Linked DNA regions of Bombyx mori. Each later gene encodes a partner of the first gene's protein in a complex. Links are inferred from orthologs where the notes say so. Each region holds a gene or a part of one and is shown in the gene's direction. Other genes may lie near its edges.

Region 1 (2,979 bases):
ACATGTTTCGAGCGACGGTGGCTTTGCGTTGCCGCGTCGCGTTCGGATAAGAGAACATCTCCTAATGGTTCAGCTGCTGTGGAGACTTACCGGCTCGAACGCACTGACAAACAGACAAAAATCGATTTTAAGAGTTCCTTAAACAATAAAATATACTGAAATCGCTTTCATTTATTTTCCTTTTCTTTAATACGGTAATGAAATAAAGAAATTTAATTGAATATGAAGTTCGTTAACATAAAATAAGCATGGCATATACAAAATTGCTGATTATATGATCATGACTTTGTATTTTAAAATTTCCTTAAGCGCCTTATTCACGATCCATCTTGCTGTACGTCCCGCCAAGGCCATGCACGATGCACGATGCATTTAGCGCTTTATTCACGATCCGTCACGGCTGTACGTCAGCTCAAGACCGCAGTGCTGGATGTATCAAGCGCGAACAGAATAAATCGAACGAATTAAATGAGGGTTTTAAGTTAAAATGCCAGCTGCTTTATCAAAACGCCAAAAATGGGAGTCCTTCTGATGTTGTCAGCAGCAGCAGAAGAGAGGCAAAAAATAGCAAGAGGTTTTGGATGATTTTTTTAAACGTGCAGAGTATACTCAAATAATTAATATCATTTTTTACGCACGCTATCAATCCTTGCAGCTTCCCCTAAAATGGGCCTAAAAATTGTAATACGTTTATTATTTTTGGTTTATTCATATAGTCTGCGCTTGAGACATTCCACAAAAATGTGGAACTTATAACTTTCAATAAATCTTGAAAGGGTTTCACGATCCATTTTGACGTGCAGTCTCCTTTCGAAACTCTTCGTTAACTTTAATTTCAGTATTACCACCGTCTTTTTACGATTTCATCAATGTCAGTGTCGAGTTAAAAACTGACATTTAGTGGCCATAATTGTTTGTTGAAATAATACTTTTTGGCGGGAACGCGAGGAGTGAAGTTGTGTGATTTGTTTTATTTTGTCTATTTATTTAGTGTTTCTTCAGGTTGAAATGTGTAATAACGGTGGTTTATTAACTGTGTATTATCTGTGAAAGTGTACAAATGTGGGAAAATGAAACAAAGCCGCTGGATGTAACTTCTCGGGATCCTCCAAAAAGTCCACTGAAAAGATCTCAGTAAATGACCACCATTTTACTGAGATTATATTATATTTCATCCCATATCATCTCATTTCATTTTATTTCATCCCAGTCGATTAATGTCCCAAATTAATCATTTTCATTTCACTCCATATTATCATTTTTCATAAAATTAAGAATATAAATTAAAATAAGACATGACTTACAAGTCTTAGTTACCAGGTCACAAAATTCCTTACAAAAAATTGTTGAATTAAAAAGCAGAGTCACCATAGACAAAATAAAGCGTCGACTTAGCGTGTGTACGATAGTTTTGCTGTAATTGTAATCTTTTTCACTCAATTTCTCAGTTCACAAGCCCATAAAATAATACAAAATGTAAGTATTAATATGATTTACGTAGTTTTAACAATATATTTAACATATTATCTGCTTAGCCGGTAATGGTCAACAATAACTCTAATGTTAACCTTATTATAGGACGTCAACAACTAAGCCACGCTCTGAAATGACCCTAGAAGAGCTATCTAAAATCGAAGAGGAAGAGTTTAGTACCGGACCTCTTTCCGTGCTCACGCAGTCAGTAAAGAACAACACACAAGTTCTGATAAATTGCCGTAACAATAAGAAACTCCTGGGTAGAGTGAAGGCTTTCGACCGGCATTGTAACATGGTATTGGAGAATGTTAAGGAAATGTGGACTGAGGTACCGAGAACTGGCAAAGGAAAGAAGGTAAACAGATGTTACTGTATTTCAGTTCAATTGATTCAGAAATTTGAGGTTATGTATTGGAAATAGGAACCACTCCCAAGCGCTCATGTATAAAAGTGCTACAGCTCCAACTTGAAAAGTACACAATAAGACATGATGTCGCGTATTTTAGGCCAATATTAGCGGAGATAAAATACAAACCACTGGAAATTCCCAAGATGACAATTATGTGGATATGAAACATTCTGTGTTAGCTCATTTCATTAAAACTCTTCAAATTCAAAATACGTATAACTTCTGGTTTTATTTTCAGGGCAAAGCTGTAAACAAGGACAAATTCATCTCCAAAATGTTCCTCCGCGGTGATTCTGTGATCTTAGTACTAAGGAATCCTCTTGCTACAGCTGCAGGGAAGTAATGCAGTAATTAGTTTAAGTATTAATGAATAAAATATTCAGGAAATGAATAGCTTTACTGGTTCATTCCTTAAACTGTAATAATACTTTTACAAAATTGGAAACTGTGTTAGTTCTATGATTCTGCAACTATATGTAATAAATAAACAAACTCGATATTTTAATATATTGAAATTGTATCAAGTTCACATATTGTAAGATAAAGCTAAAAACGATCAGTTATTATAATGATGCATTAAAAGAGTCTCACCAGTATTGTTGTTAATATTAGCATAAAATAACTTCATATTAGTGGCTGAACATACCAAAATTGAAAAAAAGATACTTACTTTTGGTGCAAGTAGTAACTAACAATTTTGTAAAATATAGATGCTTTAACATTTTTAAAGAAACATGGCAAAATTACAATGGTCAAGAAGTCCACAAACCTGTCAATAAGTTTATAATTTCTATAATAAACCAAAGTGTAAAAGTGTGTTTTTAATATGATTTTTTTCATAGCCCCTTATTAATTTGTGCAAATTAGATCTGATGTACATCATGGGATTAAGCTGTGCAGTCCAGTCCAATATTTTGTTAACATGTTGGTTTCATGACAGACACTATGAGTCCACAGCATACTTTCCCCTAGGGTAAAAAAATGTAGTGTTTTTTCAAAAATATTCTCAAGAAATTACTCAAAAGTAATGAGTGAGGTATGGAAACAGTGACTAAGTATTGTTTTCTGAGATATTTCAAATGGCAGACAGTGTC
Region 2 (4,145 bases), on another chromosome or scaffold:
TGCTGTGACCAAGGTGGACATGGTTTAATGATTGATCAAAATTTGGTATTCTGTTTTGTGTTGTTACCTATAACACGAGTTTTTTATTTATTATTAAGGAAAAAAAATATTTCTAGGATTGGAAGCATCAATAAGATATTTTATAATTTTTAACGACATCACTACAATAATTTCATTATCAATAAATAGCATACATACTTGCGGAGTTTCTGCTTCAGATGAGGAATAGGTAGATTGTGAAAGATTGCTAGATGTAGACATTACTAGTACAAAATACTACAAATCCTTTCCTCATAAATTCGCGTATTATGTGTATTAATACCTATCTATGTTAATCGCTACATAAAAGGAACCAACCGTATATTTAAACCTCTTTACAACACAAACGAATTTTAACTTTTGTACTAATTTGTACTTACAATACTTTTTTTATTATTATTTTAAGAGATTTTATGACCTGGTAACTAAGACCTTTAAGCCTTGACTTATTTAATTTTCATTGTTATTTATTTATATTTTTATGAAAAATGAAATGTGCAATAACTGTGGTTTATTAACTGTTTAGTATCTGTGAAAGTGCATAAATGTAGGAAAATGAAACAAAGCCGCTGAACGTAACTTCTGATAGGGTGGATGGACTAGCGGCTATAGCAATTAATTAAAACGTAAATTAAATACTTGAAAACATTGTGTTGACTTGTATAAGAGAAAATTTAATTCAGAATGACACCGCACATCAAAAGTAAAAGGAACATAATACAAATTCAAATATAATGCATCATAGACAATTATACGTGGACAGCATCACAACCTTCCAACAACTTCTCGTTATCTTCCAAAAAGTCCACTGAAAAAGTCTCAGTAAATGACCACCATTTTACTGAGTTTATACTTCATCCCATATCATCTCATCTCATTTCATTTTTTTCGTTTTCATTACATTTCATGCTATGTTTCATAATAATCAACTTCATTTCATTTCATAATATCATTTTCATATAAAAAGGTACGTATCATTAAAATTAAAAATAAGACTTGACCTAAAGGTCTTAGTTACGAGGTCATAAATTCGCCTAAAAAAAATTCTTTCTCTGATATGGTAGCGTTAAAGTTTAAACGTTTAACGCAACCTTGTTGAAAATCGCATTAGAAGTTTCACTTCAAAAATGCTATCTTTTCGAATCTGCACACTACTGCCACAATCTACATTTACGTGATAAAAAAGCCCGATTTTATAAATCAACCATGGAGTTAATAAGTACCTACAACACTAACTCTATGAAATCAACATTAGTAACTATTTATTAATAATCTGTGATCAACATTCCAACAGCTGTCAGTGCTGTCACCGTACACCAATCACTAATAAAACCGCGTTTCCGATCACAAGAATGAAATTATAGAAAAATATTGTCCAAATAATAAGTGTTAATAACTATGAATATTGCTGTACGGGCTATATTTCTTTTGACTGCCTAAATAGACAAAACAAAAGTATTATTTATTAGTCATTACATATATATGTACTATGAATTGTTAATGTTATAATATCTCAAAGCTGTAATTTAGTGAAAAAGATGTCATTGAAAAAGTACTTGAAAACAATGAAGGATGATGAAGATAATTTGGATATAGTATCACCGTGCTTCAAAATAAGTCCTGATGTGCAATTAAAAGAGGTTCCAACGAACGGTGAAGAATATTTACTTAAAGTCATAAAGGAGCGTAAAAACATTGCAGCAGTTACGAAATGCAACAAAGATTATTCAAAGTTTGCCGAAAATCAGTCTCAGTATGTGCATGAGGTCAGTGAAGTTCTGAAAAATGATTTTAAAAATGATTGATTAACAAAATTTACATTCATGTAACCATGATGCCAATGATTTTGAAACGAATTTCTGGTGTAATATCTGCATCTGATGTAACTATGGAAAAGGTTGGGTACATTTCCGCATTGTTCTAAATATCTGCACCAGTAGCTAAAGTTGTAAAACATTTTTAAAATCATTATCTGCATCAATCTAATTTTAATGTTTAGGTCACCTTTTTTCACCAAACCGAGTTTGATTTCAACTATCAAACCTGGTTCTATATGATATAATTAAAATAATAAATTTGTATTAATTAATTTTCAATACACAGAGTTAAGCTCACTTAACTGTGCAAAATGCAGCTGAGATGTCATTTTATACATAATTTTCATTATTGGCACTGATAAGAATAATTAAAGATTTTTAATGTGTACTAAATCAAGAATAATTAATTAATTGATGTCCCTTTTTTATGTTTATTAATATGACTGTACTAATCTTATTCATTCAGGCATAGTAGGTAGTACTAAAAATATATTTGTAAATTATAATTCAAAACATTCACAATAGTAATTTGTAAAATATAAGTAAAACAATAAATACACTGATATTTTATCTTAATAGATTCATACCTTGGGACATATTCATAAATGATTCATTCCTGATGCCCGAATACAGTCTTAAGATGTCTACACAAAATGTCTAAAATGTCTGCAAGATGTCTACACAAAAAATGGGCTACACAAAATTATTCAATGATCATGACCATAAAAGTCATTTTGTAAAAATAAAAAAGTTAATAATCAGCTCACAAAATTGTATATCCTGTTATTAATTTATGATCTGCACTATTCGTAGAAAGCAAACTGCAATTACAGCAGAATTAATTTATAGTTATTAGTCACTGATGGTTTTTGATGGGTGGTCTCAAGATCATTCGTTAAATCTGTGAAATAATACATAACAGATTTTAAGAATATAGTTTTAATAATTTGGTGGCTTAGTAATGTTATTGTAATTTGAATAGATGTCTAATGGAAATGTCTTTTTAGTTCCCGAGGCTATCAGTACCTGAGAAGTTAAAACCTACAATTGAGTGGCAAAACATGCAAGTAGCAGATTTCTCAGAAACTCGAATGTACATATCTCGTTTGCTGTCAAAAAGGAAAATATGGAAAAACAATATTAATATTATAGAAATAAAACCAACCTGTGTAATTGAATGGAAACAGTTCTTCAGTACCCATATTCCAACATTATCATGCGTGCTCGGATTACAACATGCATTACTAGACCAAGGTTTAGAAGTACTTACTGATATTATTAGTAGAACGAAACCTGGTAATACTATAGAACATAAAACAGGTAAGTCATTACTTTACACTGTACATGTTCAGAAGATGATTAAGAGCCGTTAATTAAATTTAAATGGATTTGAACTTCTTCATGTCATTCTCAATAACAAAGTTTGTGGATTTTATATTGAAGTTTTCTCTATCATCTTCCTATTGATTAAGTACAGCTCTTTTGTAAAGAGAAAACTTAACCTGTTTTGTTACTCTCAGCAAACCAAATTATTCATACAGCATACATTCTGCCACTATTCTTTATGTGTTCCATAATTTTGATTCGATCATAGCATTTTGTCTTTACTTTAACTTTATACAAAATTATACAAGATTTTGTAACAACAAGTGAGCTTTATATGAAGAGAATAAAATCAAGATAATAGTAAATTTGTAATTGGGGTAAGGATGATTAGTGAACGCTTTGTAAGGAAATCACATATCAGCTCTCCCAAAAATCCACTTTTAAAGCAGAGATTTCGTAACCACCCAACCTACCTGTCAAATTAATATATATCAATTTTTAAACTTATTTATAGAATACATTGTGTTTTACAAACCATTTTTTTTTAGTACAAATTGTTCAGATGCATACAGAAGAAGTTTTTATTGGGTGGCCTTTTCATTTTCAGGTCAATGGGTATATGCGTTTTTGGCCTGTACCCAACTACCTCTATTGTCTGATACAACAAGTATTCTAAGAAATTTAGCTCGAAAGTGTGCTGAAATAAGGTAAATATAATAACACCTATTGTTATTTACAGCAGGTGACCACAGCTGAATCATAAACAAATGTAACAAAGATTGTGAAAAGTGGCAGTGTGAAATTTTTCAATTATTTAACAAGGGCTTTTACTACCTATACAGGGTAGCTGGTAAGATCCGGGTGAGAGAAGCCTACAATCATGCTGTGGTGTGCAATTGGATAGGCCTATGTCCAGCAGTAAACTGCTATAGGTTGATGATGATGACAAGAAATTTGATTTTT
Region 3 (2,937 bases), on another chromosome or scaffold:
TCCCAATCTGTTGCTTTGCTTCAAAGTTTCAAGAAATATAAACAAACACACTTTCACTTTTTTTTAATGTATGGACTTGCAACCCTCAAAAAGGCAGTAGTAGCTAATTCAGTAATAGTACTTCTGCGGTAGTAGCTAATTCAATTTTGTATAAATTCAGGACGAATATGTGATAATACGTACTAGGCATGAGTAAAACCTTGTTCTGCTTCTTAGACTGCAGTTGTTGTTTTTTGGCCTTCCCGCTGAACGGGGTCTTCCGACGTGCTTGGGGCATGACGAGTAACTCTGTTAATTATGGACAATGTTATTATGAAGTAAACATCTTTACAACTGTTGAACTGCAAGTACAGTTTTAATATTTTTCTGGGTATTTTAATTATTTTATTGAATATCACGTCATAGTATTTTACCATTATACTTTTTCTCGCTCTGATGACCAGATTTGAAGATACAAAAGTAACGCTTACAGGTGTAAGTGTAAACTCAAAAAATGTAGGTACTGGGTAATGTATTATTTATCAAATATACTAAACTAATTGATCGTAATAAGCGATTAAGAATCTGATTTTCAAAAACCGTAACCGATTTTTAACCGTAATTAAATCAAGAATTAATAAACTTAACTAATTAATAAAGAGAAAAACTAAAATTTGGAACACGAGGTCTCCTTGGAATATTATAATTGTACAGAAATAGTTTCAAACTTACGTTAGACTCAAAACAAGAAATCTATTCCTAATTTCTCACTGAAGGGCTTGAACTTATTATCTTTTTACCTATTTAATTGATTTTCGTGTGAATATGAAAATTATTCTACCGACCGGCTAACAATTGAAAACATTTTTTTTCACAGGATTGACAATTGACAGCTGACCGACAAATTAAAGGCATTGAACTCTGTTTTTTTTTTCAAATTTAGGATATTTTCTAAGGGATTTTATGACCTAGTAACTAAAACTTTTAGGTCAAATCTTATTTTAATTTATTTAATTCTTATTTTTACGAAAAATGATAATATAGAGTGAAATGAAATGAAGATGAAATGAAGTGAGATGAAATTAAATGAAATGAGATGAGATGATGTAGGATGAAATATAATCTCAGTAAAATGGTGGACATTTACTAAGACTTTTCAATTGGCTCTTTGGACGATCCCAACAAGCTACGTCTAGCGGATTTGTTTCAATTTCCCACACTTGTGCACTTTCACAGATATTATACAGTTAAACCTGAAGAAACAATAAATAGACAAAATAAAACAAATCACACAACTTCACTCCCCGCGTTCCCGCCAAAAAGTAAAAATTTATGATAATTTTGACAGCTCACAGTAAGGATGCTAAAGTCATTGACTTTGGATTATCGAACATAGATTTATTCTCATGGAACTAGAAATTGATAGTTGCATGGACAGTAAGCTGTATGGTCAAATTAAAACAAAAAAAGTTACATTACATTTAACTATTAAGTTCAGCAACAAAACCCTTCAACACCAGTTTCGATACGTTCTTTTTTTTCATCATTTATCCTATTGAATGCAATTTTTGTAGACGGGTTCACCTTTAGAATAAATTGAAACCAGGAATGAGATTTCTAATTATTTATTACTAATACAATGGTGTGCAACGTAAATTGTTTTATTATTATTCATCATCATCACAAGATTCACTACTACTAGAACTGTCCCTTAACTCTCCAGTTGGACTCGTCTACTTGTAAATTCTTGTTCACAAACTTCATTACATTACCATTGAAGCAATTTTCACTTCTTCTCAAATATTAAGTGTATTATCTGTGCGTCTTCTGACAACTGAGCACTGTCAGTGTCAACCTAAAGTCCTAAAGTAACCTAAAAAAACAAGAAGTTGACAATACACCAAACAACGCGAAAGTAGGAAAATAAACTTCTAATACAAATAAATAATAAACTTCAAAACGAAGTTGATCATTACATCAAAATGTTGCCGCTATCTTTGTTACGGACAGCGCAGAACCACCCTATGCTTGTCGAATTGAAAAATGGCGAAACTTACAATGGTCATCTCGTAAGCTGCGATAATTGGATGAACATTAATTTACGTGAAGTTATTTGCACGTCGAGAGACGGCGACAAGTTCTGGAGGATGCCGGAATGTTATATACGTGGTAGTACGATCAAATACTTGAGAATACCGGACGAGGTCATCGACATGGTGAAGGAGGAGACACAGGTTAAAGCGCGCGGTCGTAACGAGGTTTCCAAGGGACGCGGGCAAAACATGAGGACCGGTGGCCGTGGTGGTAGCCGAGGCGCATTCGGTAACCGCGGCAGAGCACCTCCACTAGCCCGTGGCGGCGGGAACCCGCGACCACAGAACAAAAATAAAAATAAAATGTAAGATAAGTTTTTTAATAAATTAAGTTATTTGGCTAAGGAATAGTTTTGTTTCATTTAAAGTTCAAAATTCCTCCATACATGCTGGTGCAAAGCAACCATATATTTGACCAAATCCAAGATTATTTATTAGTCATAATCCTGATGTAGAATTCATTGAAAATCAATAATATCTAAATAATTTGGAAACTGCAGATGCACAGGTAGTTATGAATTCATCAATCCATTAATATAAAATATTTAAGCTACCCATATCTCTGTTAAATCTAAAATGGGATACAACTTTATTATTTCTTGATATTTTAAGAAAATACATTTTTTTGTTTTATATCTTTAATTGGTTTTCACACTATTCAATTCGTGTCAATATATAAAAAAAATCAAAGTATACTGAAATCATTTATTTACAAAAAACGCTTAAAGTAATAATACTATTGTATAATATGGCAATACCCATTAATGAAATGGTAAAAAACAGAGTAAAAAAAAACAGTGTAAAAGCAATATTTTAATGATGATCCTTGAAACTTGATACAGATAGAGTTATCACATTTGAATAG

Evidence for each region.
Region 2: small nuclear ribonucleoprotein sm d2 (region 1) and gem-associated protein 2 share a complex: the UniProt entries of both Homo sapiens proteins name them as parts of the SMN-Sm complex. The link is inferred for Bombyx mori from reciprocal best matches to the Homo sapiens genes SNRPD2 and GEMIN2.
Region 3: small nuclear ribonucleoprotein sm d2 (region 1) and U6 snRNA-associated Sm-like protein LSm4 share a complex: the UniProt entries of both Homo sapiens proteins name them as parts of the U4/U6-U5 tri-snRNP complex. The link is inferred for Bombyx mori from reciprocal best matches to the Homo sapiens genes SNRPD2 and LSM4.

The regions. Positions count from the first base shown.
Region 1 is NC_085132.1:3,762,098-3,765,076, reverse strand, and holds small nuclear ribonucleoprotein sm d2, read left to right. Parts: upstream 1-1,398; 5' UTR 1,399-1,474; coding exon 1,475-1,476; intron 1,477-1,578; coding exon 1,579-1,831; intron 1,832-2,123; coding exon 2,124-2,228; 3' UTR 2,229-2,479; downstream 2,480-2,979. UniProt on the Homo sapiens protein: Plays a role in pre-mRNA splicing as a core component of the spliceosomal U1, U2, U4 and U5 small nuclear ribonucleoproteins (snRNPs), the building blocks of the spliceosome.
Region 2 is NC_085111.1:13,069,625-13,073,769, forward strand, and holds the start of gem-associated protein 2, read left to right. Parts: upstream 1-1,328; 5' UTR 1,329-1,577; coding exon 1,578-1,805; intron 1,806-2,863; coding exon 2,864-3,176; intron 3,177-3,789; coding exon 3,790-3,889; intron 3,890-4,145. UniProt on the Homo sapiens protein: The SMN complex catalyzes the assembly of small nuclear ribonucleoproteins (snRNPs), the building blocks of the spliceosome, and thereby plays an important role in the splicing of cellular pre-mRNAs.
Region 3 is NC_085117.1:3,991,874-3,994,810, forward strand, and holds U6 snRNA-associated Sm-like protein LSm4, read left to right. Parts: upstream 1-1,594; 5' UTR 1,595-1,961; coding exon 1,962-2,381; 3' UTR 2,382-2,420; downstream 2,421-2,937. Other genes in the region: guanine nucleotide-binding protein-like 1, read right to left, coding at 184-277. UniProt on the Homo sapiens protein: Plays a role in pre-mRNA splicing as component of the U4/U6-U5 tri-snRNP complex that is involved in spliceosome assembly, and as component of the precatalytic spliceosome (spliceosome B complex).